Rhinolophus ferrumequinum: one gene and its partners. The protein of the gene in region 3 binds, or shares a complex with, the protein of the main gene of each other region. Links are inferred from orthologs where the notes say so. Each region holds a gene or a part of one and is shown on either strand. Other genes may lie near its edges. The genes, in order: ARPC5, ARPC5L and ACTR2.

Region 1 (7,933 bases), on a different chromosome or scaffold from region 3:
ATTACAATCTTGAGGAGGTGGGGTTATGGACGGTTACCGTTTTTCATCCCCCACCTCTCCTCTCCGAGTTTTCTATAATAAATACTTAATACTTGTATAACATTCACAGATCTTTAACAAGAAAAGAAGTAGAATCTGTTCATTTTGTAAAAGTTTTACTTATTCTTCAAATCTTTGCTCAAATTCAACCTGCAGCCTCCCCTAAAAACACACAGAAATGATCTGTCATTTGAACTGGATGTGTTGCATACGAAACCCAGTGTTTGCCTGTTCTTTATTCATCTGTAAATGTGTACCTATCAAACTACTTCATTAACTCTTCCAGGGCAAAGATCGTGACTAGTTAAAATATTTCTTGATTTTGCGACACTTCGGAGGATTTGGGTAAGAATGCTCCGATGCCATCGGAGATCACCGTGATGTGGGACTCACCTTTACCGCCTGACTCTTCGTGTTCATCGGGGGGTTCTTCAGAGCAGCCTGCAGGGCAGCTGTCATGTTTCCTGTGGTGGAGGTTAAGGACATAGCAGCAAAGGGCAGCCCACAGGAAAGCATGCTCACTACCAGGAACCACTGGTTCTTAAGACTTGACTTCATGCAGAGAAGGAAAAATGACTATGGTCACTATGTTCACTATTGGAAAATTCAACATGTTGGTTTCAAGGATGTCAATCAAAGGTAAAGTACTGAAAACTACAAAAAAATCACGTGAGAGTTCTTTTAGTAAAGCAAAGGCTGTTCCATCCTTGGTTCTAATTGTCAAACGAATGCCTTGAGAACCTCTCCTTTTCCAATGAGACACATATGGAAACACTATCCAGTGATAAGTTAAAAAAATCTCTACAATATGTATCAGAATAATTAGGCCCCAAAACGAAACTGCCTACCCTCAACCAAAATGTTTTTATGTGATTCTAACTGGAAAAATAAAGACCAAACTTACTAGAATTATATTCTATATTAATTGAAATCTTGATGGAAAATGCTGGTGTATTATTAATTTAGCAATCTGAATGATATACATTAGCAATCTCTCAATATTGATGAAAAGAGGCACTACAGAAGGTATCATAATTCAGTGACCCTTAGGAGGCAGCTTAACTTTTCTGTTTTAGATCTTTCCTTTCATATTTCATAAAGGTTATTCAGACTGTGTCAGGCCATACCTATTACATTTAGTCTCTCTTTGAAAGCACTAGTGAGTTAGCATGTATGAAACACAGAAAGCCAATCAGACTGTCAGAATGTACAGTTATTCCCCTAAAAGGAAAACCACACAGAGCTTACTTGTTCCTCCATCTGTAGTGCCTAACCAGCATTTGTCTCTTCTGGTTGTAACAAGAGTAGAAGAGACAGTATCTTTATAAACAGACCTACTACATGGATACAGCAGAACCATTTAAGAGTCCTCTCATACCAGCTAAAATGTTAGTTTCACAAAACATCATTTATCCACCACAAAGAATGTTTTTAGACAGCACAATGTTCACCACTTATTTTCTGAAGAAAAAGGTCTGACAAAAAACCCCATGGTTGGTGGTAAGCTGTCATTTTCAAGGCGTAATGGACTTCTAGAGAAGCATGCCTTTTGTAGACTGGCTCATTTTTAAGGCCCAAAACACGTTAAGTATTTAAATAATGAAAAATAGCAACCGCTGATTGTGAAAGTTGTGGAAAATAAATAAATATCTGTATGTTGATAAATGTTTAATGTTGTATTTTAGATGCCTTTAAGACCAGATATAGTTGCTACCAAATATTTTCACTCATCTATTTCCCCATCATAATTTCACAGGACAGCCACGAAGCGTCTATAAAGCCTTCCTTATGAATCCACCCAAGAATAATTAGAAATGAGTGAATTCAGTAATTGACAATCTCGAAAACTTCAGCTTTGGTTATTGCAACATTTACATTTTTCTAAAAAAAAAGATCTCATGCAGATGTTACGAATATTTAAATATGCAAAACCAAAAACTAGGAACTGACAACCACATTTTAACTAAAATGGAAACGATTTCAGGATTATAAAAATGATGCTGCTTTGTACAATTGGCTCGTCTTCTATTTTATTCATTGGGATTTATTTGATATATTTCCAGGGATTCTCCATATGCATTCCCTGCTTCTTTCCAGGGTCCATCGCTCAGCAGGTTAAAGCCTCCAAGCTTCTTCCTTTCTTGGGAGTTTTGGTAATTTTGTACTTACTCCCTTTCCCCCGGTTAGCAAATTCTGTGCAACTTGTATTTTGCAAAATTCTTTTTTCTTAAAAAAAAAAAGGCCCCCAGGCTCAAAGGACTGAGGCCCTCATTCTGCAAACTACCCCGTCTCCCAGAAAGGAATAAACTATCCTAATTCTACCAAAACAAAACCACCACCGCAACAAAAACAGTCACTAGAGAAAGACGCCCATTCCCCCCCCGTCAGAAACTTCTGGAGCTACTGTGACCCCAGTAAATAGCGTTCTGGGAGGAAAACTTCAGCACCCAGCAACCGTCCTGATCAGCCCCGAAGCCTTCCCAGCGCCTCGAGGGCGCGGTCGGCAGAGCCCGTTCCCGGACGCGGCAACTCCAGGCGCAACCTGAGGAATCCGGGCGTGGAAGGCGCCCCCGCAGGGCAAGTTTCGGGGGGCGGACCCCTGGGGTCTCCAGGCGACCCGGTGAGATATGGGAGAGGCCCCTGCCCTCTCGGGGTGGGGGACCCCAAAGAGACAGGGGCCGTCAGGAGCAGCTCCGCGCCCGCGGCCCGGGAGGGGCCCGTCATCCTCAGACCCTGCCGGCGCGGGGACCAGAAGGGCCCGGGGGGCTGGGGAGGCCGGCGAACGCAAGGATATTGCCGCAGGCAGGAGTCCACCTCGCCCTCGTCGGGCCCGGCCTGTCCGTCGCCCCCGTCTTCCTCATCCACGAACTTGTTCTCGTCGTACTCGTCCACGTCCACCTTCCGGAACCGGGCCGACGACACCGTATTCTTCGACATCCCGGATCCGGAGCGGTGGCAAAGGCCTCCTCTTGGTGCTGCCTGTCCCTCGGCAAGCCCAGTTCTGCAGGAACCCGCAGCCTGGTGCCTTCACTTCCCTCTTCCGCTCTGGGGCGTCGCCGGCAGCCCGGGCTCGGGAGGTTCTGGGCCTGCGCGCTGGCGGCGCTTCTTCCTCCTCAGGTTCACACTCAGCTGAAGCCTCCTACGCGGTCCTTGCCCTCCTCCCGGGAGCGCGCGCAAAGCAGGGAGCGCGCTAGATTCAGTGCGCAGGCGCAGACTTTCCGCAGGAAAGGGGCGGGGCGGAGCTGAGGAGGCGGGGGCGGAGGGGGCGGAGCATGAGGGAGGGCAGAAAGCGGTGCCGCGGGAAGCGGTAATAGGCGATTGGTCATCCGCGTGCCTCACGTGATCCCTAGGGGGTTTCCATAGGAACGCTTCTCTGCGGTCCAGTCTAGGGGTTCTTCTTCTGTTCGCGGCGATGGGCACTGGGGGCGGGTGGCCTTGGCTTTTGCTGCCGCCAACGACCTGTCATCCGGGTCTTGCGTAGGGTCCGGCCGTCCTGGACTTGCCTGTGAGGTGGGATGGACTGGCTGTCGGACCAAGTCCCCTGCCGTTGGCAGTAGTAGGGCGGAGTGATGCACGCCCGGGCGCCCAGCATCGTTCTAGTTCTCAGAGACATCGCTTCGGTCCGGGCGCTGCTCGTGGCTGCGTTCCTGCGCCGGGAGCCCCTTTCCCGGGGTTGGAACTACGCTGTGCGGCCAGCGGGAGGTCCCCAAGGACAGAGTCGAAAGGTCGTATCTTCTGTCAGTGCTGTGTGACAGCACCGCGAAGGCACCTGCAGAACCTGAACTAGGTATCGTATCCATTGGGAGGGAGGGGGAGGTGCGTGGCAGGGGCTGGGGTCGGGTGGCAACACTGGGTGAACCTGTGGAATTTGTGGTAGGGTCCGTCACTGACAGCTTAAAATACGTGGTTGTGCGGAGCGGGCAGGCTAGACAAGGGTAGGGGCGAGCTACGTTCTCCGGTGCTGAGGGGAAATAAAATGTGGAACAACTGGTAGACGTTCAAGACTGAAGACGTTTGTGATTTAAGGTTTTATGTGATCCCTTTAGGCCAGCTTTTTATTATATTTGACATGCCCGTTTCTGAGAGCAAAGCTCTTACTGAGGAGGTAAATGGTAGCTGTGCTGAGTGTGCAACACTGAAGCACAAATGTGTGTAGATTAAAATTAATTTGGACGTTTGGATGGACACTGCTCAGATGGCTTTGTTTTCCCCGACATCCTATCAGGTCTAGTTTAATTCCACCTCTAGCAGAAGGCCGGCTGTTGCCCTGTTAAGTACTCGACTCATTGGTTTCCTGTGCTCTATTGAAAAGAGCACTGGGTTTAGAATCAGTAAATCCTGGCTCGAGTCTTGAGTCTTTCGCTCAATCTACTTGATTGAGACATACCACTTAAAATTCTGAATCTCAGGTTCTCCACTGCTAAAGGGGGCTAATAATGTGTACTTCACAAGATCATTCTGAGATTTAAGTACAGGAAAGCGTTTTGGAGCTATAAAATTGTACATAAATGTGAAATGTGTGTTACCTGTACCATTGGTTTGAAAACTAGCCTTATAAATTACTTAATGATACATTGTGTTTTATCTTGCCCCTGAAGAGATGGAAAGATTCTGGAGGGCGGAGGCTGTCTTATATTTCTTTTGTATCTTCCTTTAGGTCTGACATAAAGCTAAGCATGCAGAAGGTACTCAGTGCACTGGGGTACTTAATTATTCCTGGGTGAATGAGTAACATGTGAAAGCCATTATAGTTTGAGAATCACACTGAGAATAATGAACCAGTAAAAAGAGGAAGAAAGATCTCAAAATCAAATCTTCATTAGATACATGTGCATACTTATGTATCTATATCAATATGTGTATATAGGTATACATATATATCTCTATCTCTTTAATCTGTCATCTATAGAGAGAACCCTCAGGAATAGACTGCATGTTTTTTTCTTGGAAGGAAGAAGCAATATGGCATTTTCTTTTCCCAATTAAATCACCCTTCTGGAACATATATCATTGAGGTGATGAAGTGACATTTCTTTAAATTAACATTCAAGTTATGAACAAACACGCTGGTAAAAACTTCCTCAAGGACTGTCTTAAAATAGCAAAGGAAAAATTTCTACCTGTTGATAACCTTTATTTTAAAAAGTCGTATACCAAAGTATCAGATCATTACTGTGGTGAATAGCATTATATAACTTAGAATAAAGATTTGCTCTAATATTCTTTTCTCAGTTTCAATATTTTGCTAACTTTAGAAGAGAAAATTGACTATTAGAAGCACTACTGAGAGCAAATGGAAACAAGGATTCATGAGCTAATACATCCGTTCTCTTACCATTTCTATTCTTTTGTATAAGGTCTTATTTAGGAAATTTCTTTGTTCTCTGGTTTTAGAACTGGGAAAGAAACCCAGAGTAGAAATCAACTTAAGGGAACAGAGAGGGGAATTTAAAAAATCGAATTGCTTAAAGGTTTAATTGTTTTTAATTGCTCATAATTTTGCTCTGTGTGTTGAATGTGTTAAACATAATTAAGTTTCAGCCACATAATGCATATTACATTTGAGATATAATAATGTCAGAAATATCCTTTTCCAATGCAGTATTTTTTTATTATCTCACAATGATAAGTACCTTGTACATAGTAGGCACTCAACACTTTTCGATCCAATGAAGCAATAATCCAACAAATTAATTTTGGAATTATATTTAGAGATTGAGTATTTTTTAATGGACACATTAATTACCTCTTTAAAGCGGTAGGGAAATTTGTGTGTGTGTGTGAAGAACGCTGTCCTTAATTATCATTTAATTAGAAGATACACATTTCAATTTCTTGCATATGAATATTACAAATTTCTAATGTTAGTCATGGCACTTCTTTCATTTTAGGTAATATTATTTTCCCTATTTTAATTTTCCAAAGGAGTGCTTATCCCTGAAATAAAGGTTCCATAGGGTTTTAAGACATCTGATTTGTTTTGCAACTAACCTGGTTTGGTTCAATACCGAAGTTAACACTGACTTTTCTCGAGATTAATGCTGCATGATAGTATATAGCTCCTTATTTTTGTGATGATGGAAAGAGCAAAAGATCTCTTTAGTTAGAAACGATTTTGATAAAACTGTCTTATAATAAGTTTTTGCAGATATTTTAAACCAAGTACTCTACCTACAATGTGCTTTTTTCTCCAGACTTGCCATTAGATACTTAACAAACCAAGACCTTGAATCCTGCAGCATGGCGGGATTATTAGTTGAAATGGAAGTGAACTCAGTGTTAATCAAATATGTCAAACATGTGTTATAAATATAAAATAACTAAATTTCAGTTCTGGTAATGATTTAATTTCACTGTTCTCTAGCAACATAATTACTACAATGTAAAAAGACTTTTTGGCATGTTACCCATTGACTATATATAGACTTAACATGTGAATGAACTGGTTCTGTGTTAAAACCACCAACCTTCAAAACTTCAAGTTTTTAATCGGTGATTAATTTCAGCTTCACATAACTTTATGATTACACACTGAGGTAGAGTGGATAGGATGAACTATTTTACAATGAGAACTTTTATTTATTTATATATTAGTACTTCAAGGATTTAAAAGATTTAAATCTGTACGCTTGTCTCCGGTAAAAAGTTTAGTGCTAAATGAAAGAATAAGCCTTGTTTGTTAAACATTTTTGTGAATGGGACTATATTTCTATTTCCTGTTTTTACATGCTTATGATAATATAAAGGGAAGCTATGGATTTAAAAATTTATTTATTCCATGTTCTTTCCCATTACTCGGGTCTGTTATTAATGCTAACAGTTGTTTTAAGGTTACATTTCTTGTCACAATATATAATCATAATTTTTGAGATAGTGATAATTTACATCTTTTCCAATAGTTATATCACTTTTATTATTTTTTTTCCTTAACTTATTGCATGAGTTAGTCTCTCAGAAACGATGTTGAGAAATTGGGTGATAGTAGGCTTCTCTTCTTTGTTTTTCTTTCAGTGGAAATGTTTTTGGTATTTACCAGTTTATATTTCTATTGCTTTATGATCTTTCGACATAATGGCTGAAATTACCAAATGCTTTTTTGGGGGATCGAATGATAAAAATCATGTCATTTTTTCATCTTTTAATTTATGAATGTAATGAATTATATTTATATATTTTTATGCACTGAACCATTCCCACATTTCTAGAATAAACTCTATTTGGTTACTATTTTAATTGCTTGCTAGATTTGATTAGTTTATATTTTGTTTACATTTCAGAATCTATATGTATAAGTAAGATTGGTTCATAGTTTTATTTCTTTGTGCTATCTTTATCTGGTTTTGATATTGAGATTAGTCTGGCTTTGTAAGATGAATTGAGAGGATTTCTACCTTTTTTCCCCCTATGCTCTGGAATAGTTTGAATAATAGAAAATTGTCATGCTATTTTTTTTGAAAGTTATAGAATATGCTTACAGAATTATCTGGGCTTATATTTTTAGAGGTAGCGTTTTGATGTTCTTTATCATCTGCAGTTATTGACTTGTTTGGTTTTCTTTCTCTTTTTGAGCCAATTTCAGAATTCATATTTTCATAGTAAATCATGCATTACATCTAGAGTGCCAATTTATTGGCAAGAAGTTGCAAAAAGTATTTTCTTATAGTTATTTTAGTTACTTCCATAACCATAGACATACAGCTTTTCTCATTGCTGCTATTAACTATTTAAATAAAATATTAAAATCAACAAATTTTTTTCTGTTTTTCTTCTCCTAACCTGATTGTTACCAATTTGAGAAACATATCTTTACTTTTATAGAAAATAGTCATCTAAGACTCATAGTTTTGAAAGAATTTAAAAGATCCTACAATTTCTATCCTTTTCTACTAACTAT
Region 2 (7,982 bases), on a different chromosome or scaffold from region 3:
GCAGGTGATCCCGGAAAAGCTGGTTAGAAGGGCATAACATTCCAAACCACAGATCCATTGAACGAGCACTTAAACGGACACCTCCCTAAGACAACCTCAAATACCCTGATATACACTTATTCCATCCCCCGCCCAGAGGGGCCGCGGCCCGTCACTTACATCTTGGAGAGCTTGGAAGCTGCGCCACCAGTCACTTTGGCGACGCGTAGCTGCGACAGTTCCACCTTCAGGTCGTCCAGCTGTTTCAGCAGCTCCTCCTTCTTCTTTCCGCGAAGGTCTCGAGCCTTAATCTTGGCCTGTGTACCAAGAAAGGGTCTAGATTAAACGCCCGGCGGCGCCGCCTACTCCTCCGGCGCTCATCGAGGCCTCCCCCACTGGCCACCCTCTCCCCGACCTGCGTCACGGTCAGCCCCAGAGGGGCGCGCGCCTCGCCCTGAGCATCCCCACCCCAAGCTTGCTACGAGGCCGGGACGCTATCCCCATTCCGCAGACTGTAAGACCGAGGCCGCGGCAGCGCGCGCGCGCACCTTTCCTAGTCGAAGCCGGTAGGAGGAAAAGACCGGTTTGAGTGGCGCTGGGCCACTCCGCACGGCGCTCCACAGGCCCAACTGGCAGATGGGACCTCAGCGTTCACCCTGCGCCCTCCACCCCAGCTCCCGAACCCTTCAGTGCACGGATGGCACCCGATTCCCCAGCCCTCACCATCGCTGCACAAACCACCAGAGCCGCCGCTCGCTCGCAGAGAAAGAGGAAGGGGGGGGCTGACCTCTGCAACTACTACCGGGTGAGGGCGGGCGCGGCCAATGGCGTCGCAGAGAGGGAGCCCCGGCTCCGCCCCTTCCGGCCCCCGCCAACGCCGCGAGGAACACCTTGGTACCGCCAGCCCAATCCCTCTGTAGTCCCTGGTTCTTCCAAAGACCCCGGAGGTTATTTGAGTCCCACGGCTTGAGCGGAGCAGTTGAGGAAACCACGGCCTGCCCGGGATGAGAGGCAGTTTAGCAGAGATGGCATAGTGAGGATTCAAATTCGTCCACTCAGTCGTTTATTTATTCATTGACTCATTTATTTATTGGGTAAATCTTTGCAGGTCGCCCAGTTCGTGCTGCTCTGAGCGTGGCACCTGTGTTCAGGGAGTGGAGGAGATTAGGTTTGAGGGTTTTCAAAAATGAATTAACACGGCCCCAGCCTCAGGAATTTAAAGTCCGATGTGGGCGGGGTCAGACAGCTATAATCCAACTCCATAAATGTTTTAGTGGAGGCAGCCATGTGGCCGGGGAGCGAGCATTCATAAGCCTTATTTAGTGAAACTGACCCGTTTTCAGATTCTTGCTCTGTTGCCTGGTGTTAGCTAAGACTTGGTAAATACCTTCCCCTCTTTGAGTCTCAGTTTTCTCATCTGTGAAATGAGATATTTATGAGGATTTGGATTCTATCACCTAGAAAATTCTTATCACAAGACCTGATGCGTAACAATCGCTCAAAATACCGGTATTAATGTTCCCAGTGAAATGAACACTTGAGTCGGGCCCTGAAAGTTAAAGGGGAATTCACAAAGCAAGGAGGGTGCTCAGGCTGACACAGCAGTTTTATTGTTGTCCCAACCAGCAATCAGTGCGTCAGTGTCACTCCATTGCCATTAAAAACATACCAACACCTCTTTGAGCTCTAGTTAATGCCAGATTGTCCCCTAGTTGCTATCAGGTGTCACTTCCAGGGAGCCTTCTCCCATCCCCTCCTGGAGTTAATGATCTTTAGCCTTGGAATAAATTGGGACACAACCTGTCTTGTGTCCCAAGCTTTATGTGCAATCCTCTCTTCAGCCCCAGAGTTCAAATGTTTATGTATTATCTCCACAGCCAGCCTGGAACTTCTCTGGGGGCAAGAACCATGGTGGACACCTGGTTTTCCTAGTCTCCAGGACCTGCATGTGGATGCTTGTTGGATGAACGAATGAATGAGCCTTACCCCAGACCACAATGAGAGACTTTTAGGAAGTGGAGGGATATGGGAAGGAGAGGGCAGACAGAGGGCAATGTGGTCATGGATTAGTTTTAAATGGAAATTGAATAGTGCACAGGGTCTTTGCTGTCACATTTCCCAAATGCTTATAGTTCTATTAGAGATACCGTGTTTCCCCGAAAATAAGACCTACCCCGAAAATAAGCCCCAGTTAAGATCTCAGCCAGACACATTTAGTTCGTTATGATAATATTCCAAAAGATGACATGACTGTATTTGAATAAATGTAGATTGTTGTACATGAAAAAGTAAGAAATCCCCTGAAAATACGCCCTAATGGAGCAAAAATTAATATAAGGCCCGGTCCTATTTTTGGGGAAACATGGTATACAGTTGTATACATCTTTTCTGGATTTGAAGGCATCTGTGACTCCCGTTCCTCTTACATGCCACATCTGAGCCAGCACCTAATTCTGTAGCCTCTGCCTTCAAAACATACCTGATCTCTTCCCACCACTCTTATTGGCACCTGCCTGGCCTGAGCTACTACCATTGCCTGTCACCTAGACCATTGGTGTCCTCTTAAATGGCCTCTCTACTTTGGCTCTTGCTCCCATGTGTTCTCAATACAGTTGCTGGAGGAACCCTTTTCAAAGTTAAGTAAGATCACATCACTGCTCTACCCAAAATTTCCAGGGCTGTCCCATGTGAGTGAAGATCACATCCTGTCCTCAGCCTACAAAGCCCTATAGAATCCCCTCCACTTCCATGTTCTCTCTCTCTCTTCTGATCCAGTATGGCCTTGCTGTTTCTGGCATACACCAAGCCTGCTGAGCCTGAGCCTTTGCCCGGCTCCCACCTTCACTTCCTTCAGGTCCCTGATCAGTGTCACCTCCTCAGGGGCACTTCTCTTGACCACTTTAAGGTACTCACTCCCAGGCCCTGCATGTTTGGTTTTTTCCCCCTCAGCACAGTCATCCTGACATAATAGAGGTTTTTAAAATTCTGCCTTCCTGACTGGAATGGAGGTCCATAGTCATAAGCACGTACATTATTTCATTCACCAGTTTATTTGGAGGCTATTTCCTTACTTGTAAAATGGTCATGTCTGGTGTAAAGTTCCCTCTGACCAGGATGTTCTGGGGACACGAATTTCTGTCTGGTGGCCTGCCTGGGTCACAAAGATTTCTTCCAACATATGGAACTGAAAGGCAGATGGGCTTTGCCTGTTTCCAGGACCCCTGGGACTTTTATTCAGCACCTTTTTCCACACTGTAGGAGTATCTTCAGCATCCAAGATACCATATGTACTATAGTCTGGTGTAGTTTTCGATCTGCAGACACAGTTCAATGAGAAATATTCAAATCAATAAAAACAAGTCACATTTCATTAACTACTGGCCTTTATTAAAAAGAGTACTATTACATGAAAGCAAGGACCCAGTTTAGTCTAAGGCTAAGGCCCATTAATGGAACCCTTCAAGTAACAGTCCAAGCATCTAATCCTAGCACCAGAGGCGTCTTTGACTCTGCCCTACCCCCTCCCATCCCCATCTCAGACTCTGGGCTTCCTACCAGGATATGCTCCCCAGCCAGACACGACTTCTTAGCTCCCAGGACCTCGCCCTTCTTGCCAGGATGGCGGCCACAGGATCACCTTCATTTCTGCACCCCCACACGCAGTGCCACCGCACCCTGAAGTCCAAAGGTCTTCATTATCTTGTCAGCACCCTCAATACACTTTGAACGTCCTTAAAGTCTCCTAGTCCATCAACAATAGGGTCACTGTGCACAAGGCAGAGGCCGCCTCCTCTGAGCTCAGTGTGGTGGTGTTCACGGCTCCTAAAATCTGAGACTTAGGATCCTCTACCTCCGTCACTCCCCGGGGCATAAGAACTACTACTAATCACTCAGAACCCAGCTCGAAGATTTCTTCCCCAAGAAGCCTGCCCGGAATTGACATGCCAGAGCCCAGCTCCTTCTCCTGCGGGCCCCGTGCCCTCTCAGTCTGGGGCAGTGATGACCCCAGAGTTCGCGGCTGTGCACACGCCGGTCCCTCCAGGGACAGGGGCTCCTCGAATGCAGGAGGGAGGCCGAAGAACGAGCGCAGTAATTGCGTCCACGAGGCCCGGCCTGCATGCGGAGAGTGCGCCAGCTCTTCAGACGAGAAGACTGAGGCGCCACGAAGATGGGACACTGGCGTGGGGGGGTCGGGGCGACTACCACGCGGATAATCGCGCGTTCCCACCTGCTACCCTGCCAGTCTCCGCCCCTGCATCCCACCTATACTTCCGGTTCCGGCGTGGGCCGGAAGTGGGCGGGCAGCGGCTGCGCGCGGAGGAGGTGGAGGAGGAGCCGGGCGGCTGCTTCCCGCCCCCGAGAGCGAGCCGGTTCGGAGCGGAGTGGAGCGGAGGTCGGGTCCGGAGCAGAGCCGGCTGAGCGGGCGCTGAGCCCCCGCCATGGCCCGGAACACGTTGTCCTCGCGATTCCGTCGGGTGGACATTGACGAGTTTGACGAGAACAAATTCGTGGACGAGCAGGAAGAGGCGGCGGCGGCGGCGGGCGAGCCAGGCCCGGACCCTAGCGAGGTGGACGGGCTCCTGCGGCAATATCCTTCCCAAGCGGGGCGCTCTGGGCTCCCCTTTGGCCCGGCCTTCTCACTTCCCTCACCCGGCCCTGGCCCCTCAGGCCGGCTCCCCACTCGTCTTACCCGCGACCCCTCTGGTGGGTCTCCCAACTCCCTTCCAATCCGGCTCCCGTCGGGCCAGGCTGCCTCAGTCTGAATACTCCCCACTTCCCTCTGATCCGGTCTCCCCACTCCTCTTGTCCCTGGCCCCGGCTCCCGGAGCCTCCCTCAGCAGCGCAGCCCCACGCGGTCCCTAGACTCTGGTTGACCGGCTCTCTCGGCGGCCCCAGTAGTATGCCGGACGTGTCTCCGGCCCTAACAGGCCGCTCTCTTCTCTGTGAGGCCTCTCGTTCCTTCCCTTTGCCTCCTCATCCCTTCAGGCTGTCCTTTGGACAGCCCCATCTCTCCATCCCTCCCTTGCAGGAAATAGGGTTATACTAGGGCTTGACCGGTGGGAGGGACCGAGGTGAGCCACCGCTGAGTAATTGAGCGGCCAGGGCGGCTCCTGGGCACACTTCTTGGCCCGATTGCAGCACCACACTAAAATAGGTGGGTGGATGGCTGCGGGGAAGAAAGGACACAAGAGGGAGCGAAGGCTAAAGTCTTAGTTCAGACCTGAGGGCTGGGATTGCGCACCTTCCACCCCAGAATCAGTCTGACCCTTCAGCTTAATGCCACTCTTTCTCGCGTATTGTTTCCTACGAACACCTTGGGCTTTGGACCTTGATGGGCTTAGCGACTTTCAACAAGTGTATTTTGCCTCCCTGCCCTCAATAGCCTTCTTGTGCAGGAAGCAGTGGTAAAAAGAAAAACTAGTAGTTTAGAGCTAAGAAAAACCAGAGAGCAAGAAGTGAAATGTAAAAGTAGATCCCCACAACTGGAAATAACTATTTTCGTGGCCACTGCAAACAAGCATTTAGAAAACAAGATTAAAAATAGAGGTGGTTGTCACAGCCTGCTTGGTCCCTTAGCAGTTTGAACACAGGAAACTGACTTATTCTCACAGGAAGGATTTTTCTTTATTTAAATGGTGTTACAGGAAGTGCCTGCCCCTCCTCCACACTTGCCCAGGGTAGGGTTGGAAGCTCATGCTGTATATAAATCAGGTTCTGAGTGTTTAATCAGTTGACTCAGCTTGGGAAGTCAGGCCCATAGACTGCCTTTGGGAGGAGTCCTCAGTGTTCCTCCAATGTGCCTTTAAAACAAAAACCTTCAGACTTTGTTTGGACAGGAGTGTGTTTTCCAAGGTGTGTTTCCTGCCCCATCATGGTCACCTTGCTTACCCCATTGGCGAAATGGAGGCATGAAAATGGCCCCAATGAGGGAAGGCTGATTGTGCATCTGGAGTAGGACCTCACTCTTGGGCATGTGGTGCCAAAAGGGCTCCAGGGTCAGGCCTATGGCCCAGAACCCTCCACAGATGGGAGAACAAGGTCTGGTTATCTGTTGTGTTGGTCCTGGTGCTGCAGGCATTTGTTGAAGGTCGTCTCTCATATGCCGGTGACTAGTGGTAGGTTCCTTGTGACTGCTTGGAGGCTTGGCTTAGCACCGCCAGGAGATAGCAGTGTCTTCACTAATGGCAGTATCAGAAACCTTGTTGCCATGGAGAGGGTACCCCCTGGGATTGGGGAAAGGGAGGTTCGTAGATGAGAACTGAAATCCTAGCAAACGTGGGACCTAGGGAGGGGGGAGGAAGGAACTAATATTTAGAGTCCTTACCATGTGCCAGATATTGGACTTATATTAGTTGATTGAATTTAAATTGTAGAACAGACTTCTAGGAGTTTTAGGACAGAGGTGAGGGGAGAAGGGCTAGGGGTTGGTTGATTGAGTGGGAGAATGTAGGGAGGAGACCTGCCCTAGTACTGCATATGAAGCGAGTCATGGTGAGATAACACATGAAGTAAAAAGAACATGGGCTGTGTACCCACACATACACCCACCTCCATCATACGATAGCTGTGTGACCTTGAACAGGTCACATATCCTCTCTGAAGCTTAGCATCCTCTGTTAAAAGCAGGAGAAATGCTGGCCTTAGGTTCCATGGGACCACTGCTGGACAACATTCCAGAAGGCTTCGGCCCAGTGCTAGGCACACAGCAGGTGTCCTGGACGTGCAGCTTGGGTCTGTGGGTGGAGTGCAGCAGGGGACTGTAAAAAGAGCTTGGCTTTGGAGTCAGGCATACTTGGGTTTGAAAGGCCAGCTGGACAGCTAGTTTTGTGACCTTGGGCAGGTCAGTTCCCTTCTCTGAGCCTCAAATTCATTGCCTTTAAAATGAGAATAATGATTCTTGTCGCAGAGTCGTTAGCTGTAATGAGATGACATGTGAAAGCACTTGGCACACAATCTGAGACCTTGTAGGGATTTTAAAGTAGTAGTAGTTCCTTTTCTTCCTCGCTGAAGCACCTTCGGTCCTCTGGGGCAGAGATCTGTTCAGAGCAGTGGTTTTGAGTGCTTTTGCACTCTCTCCTCCCCCTGAGGAAATGTGGCAATATTGGGAGATGTTTTGATTGTCACATCTTGGGAGGTGCTACTGAGATCTAGTGGGTAGAGGCCAGGGATGCTGCCAAATATTGTACGATGCATAGGACAGACCCCACATCCGTCATCTGGTCTAAAACGTCAGTAGTGTCGCGGTTGAGAAACCCTGATCTAGAGGAGACTATGGTTGGACACGGCTCCCTAGCCTGCACAGCCGGATCTCTGGAAGGGCCTGAGGCCAGCTTGGTAAATGGTGTGCCCTCCCTGCTCCCCAAATCTCCCTAGCTGCTGTAGGCCCTCTACCCATCCACACCTACAGTGACTGCTTGTAGACTGGCACTTCTGAGGTAACTGACTCTGCCCCCATGGACTAGTTACCCTCCCTTTCCCCATCCATCGTCTGGGTGACTGTTTGCCAGCTTTGCTGCTGGATAGTGAAGAGCACCAGCCTACATTTCCTTTTAAGCCTCTGGGACTCTGCTTACTGCTCTGGGACACCAAAAAAAGAATTCTGAGGTAGAAGTTATCAGTGGCTAATGTCACAGTGGCCCTTGCCTGGCTGGGGACAAGGAATTCTAAAGCTGCTAGATAATAGGGGGTGGGCTGCCTCTGAAATGTGGAAAGTGGATCAGAGCCCAGCCGGGGGCCGGGAGCTGGGCTGGAGTGGCTGCAGGGTGGCATGGGCCCAGCTCGGGCCAAATGAAGCCCACACTAGGGAAGACTGGACTCGGCTGTGCTCTGCAGGCTCTGTCTCTTTACACGTGGGGATCGCTGCATGAACAGGAGTGAAGACCCGATTGGGCAGAAGCCCTTGTTCTATTTTTGAAGCTTTTTGGCTGAAGCCAATGTTTCAGATGAGGAAATGAAAGTCGGCTGATGTAATTCAGTTTAAAATAGGTGTCACCTTTGGGGAC
Region 3 (7,625 bases):
TCTCTTTGGTATATTTTAATCCTTGAAATTCCTCCCCCACTCCGATCATTTTAAGACATGGTGACTTGGTTCTCTCATGATGTGCAATAAGGCTGTGTTTAAGAAATAGATTTTACCATATATAGTTTCCTCTTCATAGCACTGTGGTTTAAACTGGTTCCCTTACTTCCCACTGAGTCATCAACTGGTGAGAACATGAACAGTAAGTATAATGTTCTCTCAAGCAACATGAAGAAAACGTCCATCTACATTTGCTCTAAAAGTACCTTTCCCCTCTCAAAAAGATAAACGGATTTATAAAGCTTCACTTGGGATTGTATATGTATTTTTCCTTTATTAATTTTATCTGAAGGTACTGATGCATTAATTTAATTGCATAGTGATTATTTTGATCTTACATCACCAAAATACTTATTCTATTTATTCCAAAACATTTTGCAGGGTAAAGCCAAGTTTGTTTTTGGTTTATTTCTGTTCCAAGTGCTCCTAAATTCAACTTATAAATTAGCATAAACTTGATAAAGCAGGCAATAATCATGAATTATAAATGAAAATATAATTATTCTAGCACTATAAGCTACGTTGTATCACTAGACTTTAAAAACTGTACCAGTCACACAGTAGGCAGTTGTCTTCACTGTAGTGGGTGCTCACTGCTGATGAAATCACCCAAGTTTGGTGACAAAACATACACCAGGGGCCTGGGCAAAACTCTTAAAAGGCACCTAAACCTAAGCAGATCTCCAGATTTTCACCTATCTGGCCATGTTCAGTGGCTCTATTGTAGGTCGTAGGTTTGACTGGTTATGAGGATGAAACAAATAAATTATTGGAATCGGATGCATTTTCCTCCTCTAGGCTGCCTGAACGAGACTCTGGTCTAGTTGGGGGCTAGTGAGGAAGAGGAGCAGGACCAACATCTAGCACGTGATCATAAAAACTCACCTACTCTTCAACTTAAGGCCTGTCAGAGGAGTTAAAAGAAAAAAATCATCAACTTCTCAAATTGCTTATAATTTTAACCTAAAACGTGTAAGAGGCAAGCTGCTTTAGGGTAACAACTATTCCCATAAATTTTTAGAAATTAAATTTGAATATCTTGTTTAATATTTAATTGTAATCATACCTTTACAATTAAATATTGTAAAGGTATGATTAAATGAAATCAGATACCTCAATAAAATCAAGACTATGAAACAAAATATAGAATCTAAGTGGTTCCTAATTCTCTAAATTTTCAGAAATATCACAGCATTCCATATTATATCAGTGTTTCTTCATTTGAAGTCAATCATGTCTATACAAAATCCAAATATAATTTTAAAAAAAGAAATTAACACCAAATATATAAAATTTTGTTTGAACTAAATACACTTTTCATATTTATTCCATAGCAACTGATCTTTTGTCTTAAGGAACAAGATTCTTAAATTATAGATTGGAATAAGACCAATAATATACAATCAGCTTCCTAACATAGCTAAGTTGATGAAATAATAACATAAAAATGAGCTTAAGGTTAACATTCCTATTCTAACAGTATCACAAAACTCATTACAAAAATAGGGTTCATTACCCTTCGAAAAGGAGGAATCCATTAAAATATAGTTGGCTCAGATTTCTAAAAAGAATATCAGGCATATTCACAAAACAAAATGTTTTAAATTCAATTTTCAAATCTTTAAATTTACTTAGAGGTCAATTTGAGACTAATATCTTTTAAAAAGCACCTTTAATTGAATTTTAACTGTAAAAGTAATAACTGTTTATAGTTTCTTTAGTTTCAAGATAGTTTAACAATACATGTTTTGTTAAAAAACAAAAACCATTTTTCCAATAGTTTGGAAGAGTCATGAAGTCTTCATCTTCCCCCACTCCGTTATCCCTAGTCTCACAGATTACCACTATGCACATTTCTCACGTATCCCCCCAAAACTTACACATACAGGTTTGTGGACATATAAACATATTTATAGAGTTTATATGAAGAACACACACATAAATAGGATCATTTTTTAAACTTAACAATAAACTTAGATATGTTTCCATAGCAGTAAATGGGCCTCTTTTTTTTTTAATTTAAGTACTCCATTTTGTAAGGATGTCCCATTATATGATAACACTCATTACTCAAGTCCATTTGGGATAAACTAGTATAATTATTGCTTGTAAAAGTCTGTAACAAATTCAATCAGGGGAAGTATTATGGCAGTGAATATTAGCTCTCTCCCCCACAACACAGTTTCCAAAGTGTTTTAAAAGTTCAAGTAAAATCTATTTTAATTCATATATCACATTTATGAAAGGGAAAGAAAAGTCACAAATATGCAACTACAAAACGGTTAGGTATCACTGTAATAATATACGAGAAAATGATCACTATGGAACTCATCTAAAATAAGTAACAAAACTGATTAACTTCCCTCAAGGCCAATCAGTAGAATTAACATTTGGGCCTTGACGGGTCCTAGATGTCCCAAGATCATTCAATGTAACATGCTGGTCTCCGCGGGGCTGCACCTGGGCCAAAATCCCGGCATGCAGAACAAAAACTAAATGATGAGCAGTCGACCTGGCCTCTCTTTTCTTCAAAAAAAAAAAAAAAAAAAAAAAACACTCAAAACTGCCAAAGGGCTGAGGCTTGCACTGACAGCACTTCCCTTTTTTTCTTTAAACCCGTTTCCTGCCTCCCGTTCAGTATCTATACAGGAAGAGGAAGGCCTCTGGGTCTTTCCCCTTTTTATACACCGGCAATCCTGGGGAACGGAGCCCTTCTCGAACATACAAACTTAGTCTTTTACCCCTCCGACCCTTTAGCCAGATTGCCCCAGCAAGAAAGCGGAGCCCGTCCCCGCCGAGCAGCGGGCGAGATCCCCATCCAGTGCCGGCCTCGCCCGCCGCCCTAACCCGGAGGGCTGATGGGGATGGCAGGCTGGGGGAGACCAGGCCGGACCCTGCCGCTCGCTCCCCACGCCCGCGGAGGCGGAAAAGGGCTGCACCGAGCCCCTTGGCCCCGGTGGCCCGAAGGCCCAGGGGTGCAGCCCCCGGCGCCGAGGGCCCGCGCGTCCCCCGCACATCCCCACCCCGACCTATGGCCACCGCGGCTTCTTGCCCGCCGCTTACCCCCGTGCCGTTGTCGCACACCACCACCTTCCTGCCCTGGCTGTCCATCGTCCGCCCGGAAGAGAGCCGCCGCTGCTGCCGCCGCACAACCTACAGCCGCCGCCTACAGCCTCCGCCGCCCGGCCTTTTCCTCTTCCTCCTCCTCCCTCTTCTCAGCCCCTCCTTGGGCTCTGTTCTCTTCCCCAACCGGAAGTCGCCACCCGGCCCCGCCCCGCCCACGGCCTGCGCGACACAGGCGGGTAAGGGAGAGGAGACGGAGATTGGCAGCGGTGAGCCCAAATAAGAAGCGGAGGAGCTCCAAGTCCTGGCTCGCAGCTCCGGCTCCGGCTCCGGCTCCGGCCCCGCCCTCACGGTTGCTGCCTACTCGGGTGATGCTCTCTGCGTATGGTTTCCGGCGTTTAACGCAGCCGAGCTGGTGGGTGCTGCAGCTTTTTTCCAGAGTCGTCGCAGGAGTTGAGGACACTCTTACCTGGCTGCAGAAAGCGCAGGCAGGACAACGGGTCTGTCGCGAGATGGCAGTGGAATGTGGCGAAGAAGGCAGCCCGGAACGGGAGCAAACCTGGAGGTCCTTGCCAATCCCACTTATTGAAAATGGCTCTGTGTGCTCTCGATTCTAGGCCTTTTCAGCTGACAGAGCTGGAATGGATACACACACGTATTTGACATCATGCGGTCATAGATACTTCTAATTCCAGCCCAATCCTTCTTGGCTCAAATTGCCCTTAAATAAGAGTGGGTGCCTACATTTCCAGCCTCATCACACACCACCTACCCCTTCTCTCAGCACCATGTTGCTTTACACTTCTTCAGAATACATACCTACTTGAACCCAGAACCTTGGCTTTAAAATAAACCCCCGTTTCAAATCTGACCCTACCACTCAAGAGTTTTGTGATCTGGGCATCCCCTTATCTGTGCCTGCGGATAATATGGTTGTTGTGAGGATAAAATTATGTGTGTGGAGTAAGCATCCATTCAGTGGTAACTTTTGTCAACCAAACTCGCAAAAAGTCAGGAGACTTTGGCTATAAATGACAAAAAGTTGCTCAAGGTCTTAGGGTTTGCAAACTGAAAACACAACTAACTAGTTAATACCCAGAGTGTTCCAAAGGAGAAAGAAAAGGTGAGTTCTTACAGTAAAAAGTACATTCTTGAGAACAATCAGTCATGCATATTTAGCCTCTGGGTTGGTCTAGGATGATAATCTTCCACGTGTCTGGTGGTCTGGATAATGGAGCATTCTTTCCTGAGTTGTTCAGATGGTTATCTGTGGCAGTAATGTACATCCAGGCATTGACACACAACTGAGAAATTTAAAAGTTTAAGTCCTCAGGCTAGTTAAAGCAAGAATAGAAGCATTTCCTCATGCCTCAGATTACTTGATTCTCGTAATTTAGCAGCTTGACCATCATGACTCCATTTTATTTCTTCACTTTATTCCTCACTATGTTTCATACTTTCAAACATGTAGTTCTATCTTTAATGCCCCTATCTTTTTTCATTTTAATCAATGGGGAGACATCTACTCATGCTCTACGACCCAGTTGTCACATCTCTGAAGATTTTGCTGATAACCCTTAAGATGCTTTTTACTCCCTTTATTTACTATTACTTTACCATGGATATATGAATAACATTATTGTGTTTATTGCACTCAACAAATATTTATTGGATAGATGACATTAAAATTCATCTAAAAAAAATGCCATCGTTTTTCAGAGGTAAGAACTAAAACTGTGCTTTCCAAATGGCTGTACATGACTAGAATAAAACTTGGATCAAGAACCCCCCTCCCATCCAGTATTACAATACTAGGCTGCCTCTCAGTTTTAACTTTGTTCTTTCAAACCTTTATAAAGGCATAAAATGCTTTCTTCAAATTTAACTTTATATGGGATCCCAAAATATAAAATAGATCAAAGTACAGCTGCCATAGCTATAGTTGGAAGTTTGAAGGTTAGGATGGGTAGGAGAGGAGGCCTCAGGGGAATATGTCTTCCCTACACCAGTTTCATTGCGGTACCTCACCCTGCTGAACAGTGCATTAAGTTCATAAATTATACGTCTGACTTTTGTGGCCCCAGTGCCTAGCACTGTGCAGTTTTCCTGGGAGTACATTTAGTTGGTCTCAGCAAATTGAACTCATGCATTTCTATATATTTTTACTTTCTCTCTTTATGAAATTAAATGCATTACTAATTTTTACTTTTTAATAAATGGCTTCTGTTGTTTTCTTCTGACTATAAAAGCAATATACGCAGATGATAGAAAATATCAACAAACTACAGTAATGAAAATGTAGCAAAACTTTTGATTATGCAAATTTAGGTGTAATACTATTGGTGACTGTCTCTGACCTTCTAGACCAAGTGCATTCTGGTCATGTCACTTTCCTCAAAATAATGTGATCCCACATTTTAAGCGATTGAATTTTTTTTTTTTTTTGAGGAGGGCTTCATTTCTAGCCTTCTGTTCAGATTTTATGTAAACTATTCCACACAAAAATATTGCTAGGCAAATATTGCCATTTTACACATGAGAATATGGGGGCTTTAAAAAATTAAGTCTGGAATGAGAGACGTCATCAAAATGGCGGCATGAGGTGAGCCTCTATAAATCTCCCCTGGAATTTACAACTAATCGAACAACTATTACTCCACAAAGGACTCCCTGCATAGCAGACAGGCAGGACGAAGAGGCCCACTACTGAATTCACCTAAGGGTGGGCGAATCTCATGAGCTGGGGAGGAGAAAAGGGAGAAGTGTGGAGATGGAGCTGGATGGGCACAGGACGCAGACCTAACTCAGTCTTCCAAGCTCGCTGCATCCTGGAACTGCCGCGGCTGCGGGAGAGGGAAGAACTCGGACTGCTAGGGCTCTGCTTATGGCCCACAGGGCTGAGGGGGCAGCATATAACATGGCTGAACCCAATGCTCACGGCAGAGACCTCGGAGCAAAGACTGAGGGAAGAAGGCTGAAAACGGTGGCTTAAGCCCTCACTGCCGAGCAGAGAACAGAAGCCTTAGGCACTAAGACTAGCCGCCCCCCTCCCTACCCTTCCAAAGTTCACCCTGCCCCCACCTGCCCAATGCTAGAAGCGGTATAGTAGCAATGTCAGATCAAAAGAACAGAATAGTACCTGAAATCTATGTAATTTTACTAACAGTTGTCACCCCCATAAATTAAAAAAAAAAAAAAGAACAGAATATTTGCTGTTCTGAGAACTGTGGACCGCAGAAACAGATTCGCAGCCCAACTAGTTCCGGCAAAGGGGAGGGAGCAGTGGAAGCAGGACCGGCTGTGTGGTGTTCGCCGCCATTCTCTGGGCCACCTCTCACAACTCACCCCGCCCCTGAACGCACCTATCTGGGCAGATGCCTGCAGGAGTAAACAGAACTGCTGAAACATACGGGCTCTGAATCTGGTGCAAGAAGAGCTTTGGAACTTCAAAAGTTCTCCGCATACCCACACGGACACTGTGCCCTGTGACCCAGGCGAACTATTAACAGAGGAGAAGCCCATCTCCCAGGGAATCCCCCCATTGTGTGAGAAGCTGGAATAGTGCAGAGAAAACATAGCACTACCATGTGAGAGAGAAAAAAAGGCTGCAGTTGGAGAGAAAATAAAATTCTATCAACTAGTACTGGAAAACAAAAGAAAGACCTCGTCCTATCAACCTGTTGCAGAAGCCACTCCTGTACATGTCTAGGAAGAGAAATAATAAATCAATAATTGTCATGAATAACCAAGGTAACAAGACAGCTCAGAAAGAAAGTCGAAAGTCTCCAGAAAAGGAACTTAAAGATATGGAAATATGTGATTTAAATGACAGAGAATTCAAGATTGCAGTTCTGAAAAAACTCAACGAGATGCAAGAAAACACAGAAAGGTAGTTTAATGAACTCAGAAACACAATCAAAGAACAACATGAGTATTTTATGAAAGATATTGAAATTTTAAAAAAGGACCAAACAGAATTTCTGGAGATTAAGAACTCAATAGAAGAAATTAAGAATGAAATAGCCAGCTTAGGTAGTATAGTTGACCAGATGGAGGAAAGAATCAGTGACATCGAAGATAGAAACCTGGAAATTACACAGATGGAAGAAGAGACTTGAGACTTAAAAGAAATGAAAGAACTCTACAAGAACTTTCTGACTCCATTAGAAAGAGCAATATAAGAATAATGGGCATACCAGAAGGAGAAGAAAGAGAGAAGGGAACAGAGAATATATTCAAACAAATTGTCAATGAGAACTTGCCAAACTTGTGGACAGAACTGGATCCTCGAATCCAAGAAGCAAATAGAACACCTAATTACCTCAATCCCAACAGGCCTTCTCCAAGGCACATTATATGGAAGCTGTCTAAAATCAAGGACAAAGAAAGAATCCTCAAGGAAGCCAGGGAAAAGAAGACGGTAACCTACAAAGGAAAGTCCATTAGATTATCATCAGATTTTTCAGCAGGAACGCTACAAGCCAGGAGTGAGTGGAACCAAA

Evidence for each region.
Region 1: ACTR2 (region 3) and ARPC5 share a complex: the UniProt entries of both Homo sapiens proteins name them as parts of the arp2/3 complex. The link is inferred for Rhinolophus ferrumequinum from reciprocal best matches to the Homo sapiens genes ACTR2 and ARPC5.
Region 2: the proteins of ACTR2 (region 3) and ARPC5L are in contact, whole or in part, in a cryo-EM structure (PDB 6YW6), measured with the Homo sapiens proteins. The link is inferred for Rhinolophus ferrumequinum from reciprocal best matches to the Homo sapiens genes ACTR2 and ARPC5L. Residues at the interface, in NP_005713.1 of Homo sapiens: Tyr225, Glu263, Phe266, Gln267, Arg319, Lys322, Gln323, Ser338; in NP_112240.1 of Homo sapiens: Arg11, Arg12, Val13, Asp14, Ile15, Asp16, Glu20.

The regions. Positions count from the first base shown.
Region 1 is NC_046305.1:15,118,911-15,126,843, forward strand, and holds the start of ARPC5 (actin-related protein 2/3 complex subunit 5), read right to left. Parts: upstream 3,191-7,933; 5' UTR 2,977-3,190; coding exon 2,834-2,976; intron 506-2,833; coding exon 433-505; intron 1-432. UniProt on the Homo sapiens protein: Component of the Arp2/3 complex, a multiprotein complex that mediates actin polymerization upon stimulation by nucleation-promoting factor (NPF).
Region 2 is NC_046295.1:74,632,754-74,640,735, forward strand, and holds the start of ARPC5L (actin-related protein 2/3 complex subunit 5-like protein), read left to right. Parts: upstream 1-4,382; 5' UTR 4,383-4,418; coding exon 4,419-4,567; intron 4,568-7,982. Other genes in the region: RPL35 (60S ribosomal protein L35), read right to left, coding at 160-296, 703-705. UniProt on the Homo sapiens protein: May function as component of the Arp2/3 complex which is involved in regulation of actin polymerization and together with an activating nucleation-promoting factor (NPF) mediates the formation of branched actin networks.
Region 3 is NC_046296.1:24,869,543-24,877,167, forward strand, and holds the start of ACTR2 (actin-related protein 2), read right to left. Parts: upstream 3,307-7,625; 5' UTR 3,172-3,306; coding exon 3,124-3,171; intron 1-3,123. UniProt on the Homo sapiens protein: ATP-binding component of the Arp2/3 complex, a multiprotein complex that mediates actin polymerization upon stimulation by nucleation-promoting factor (NPF).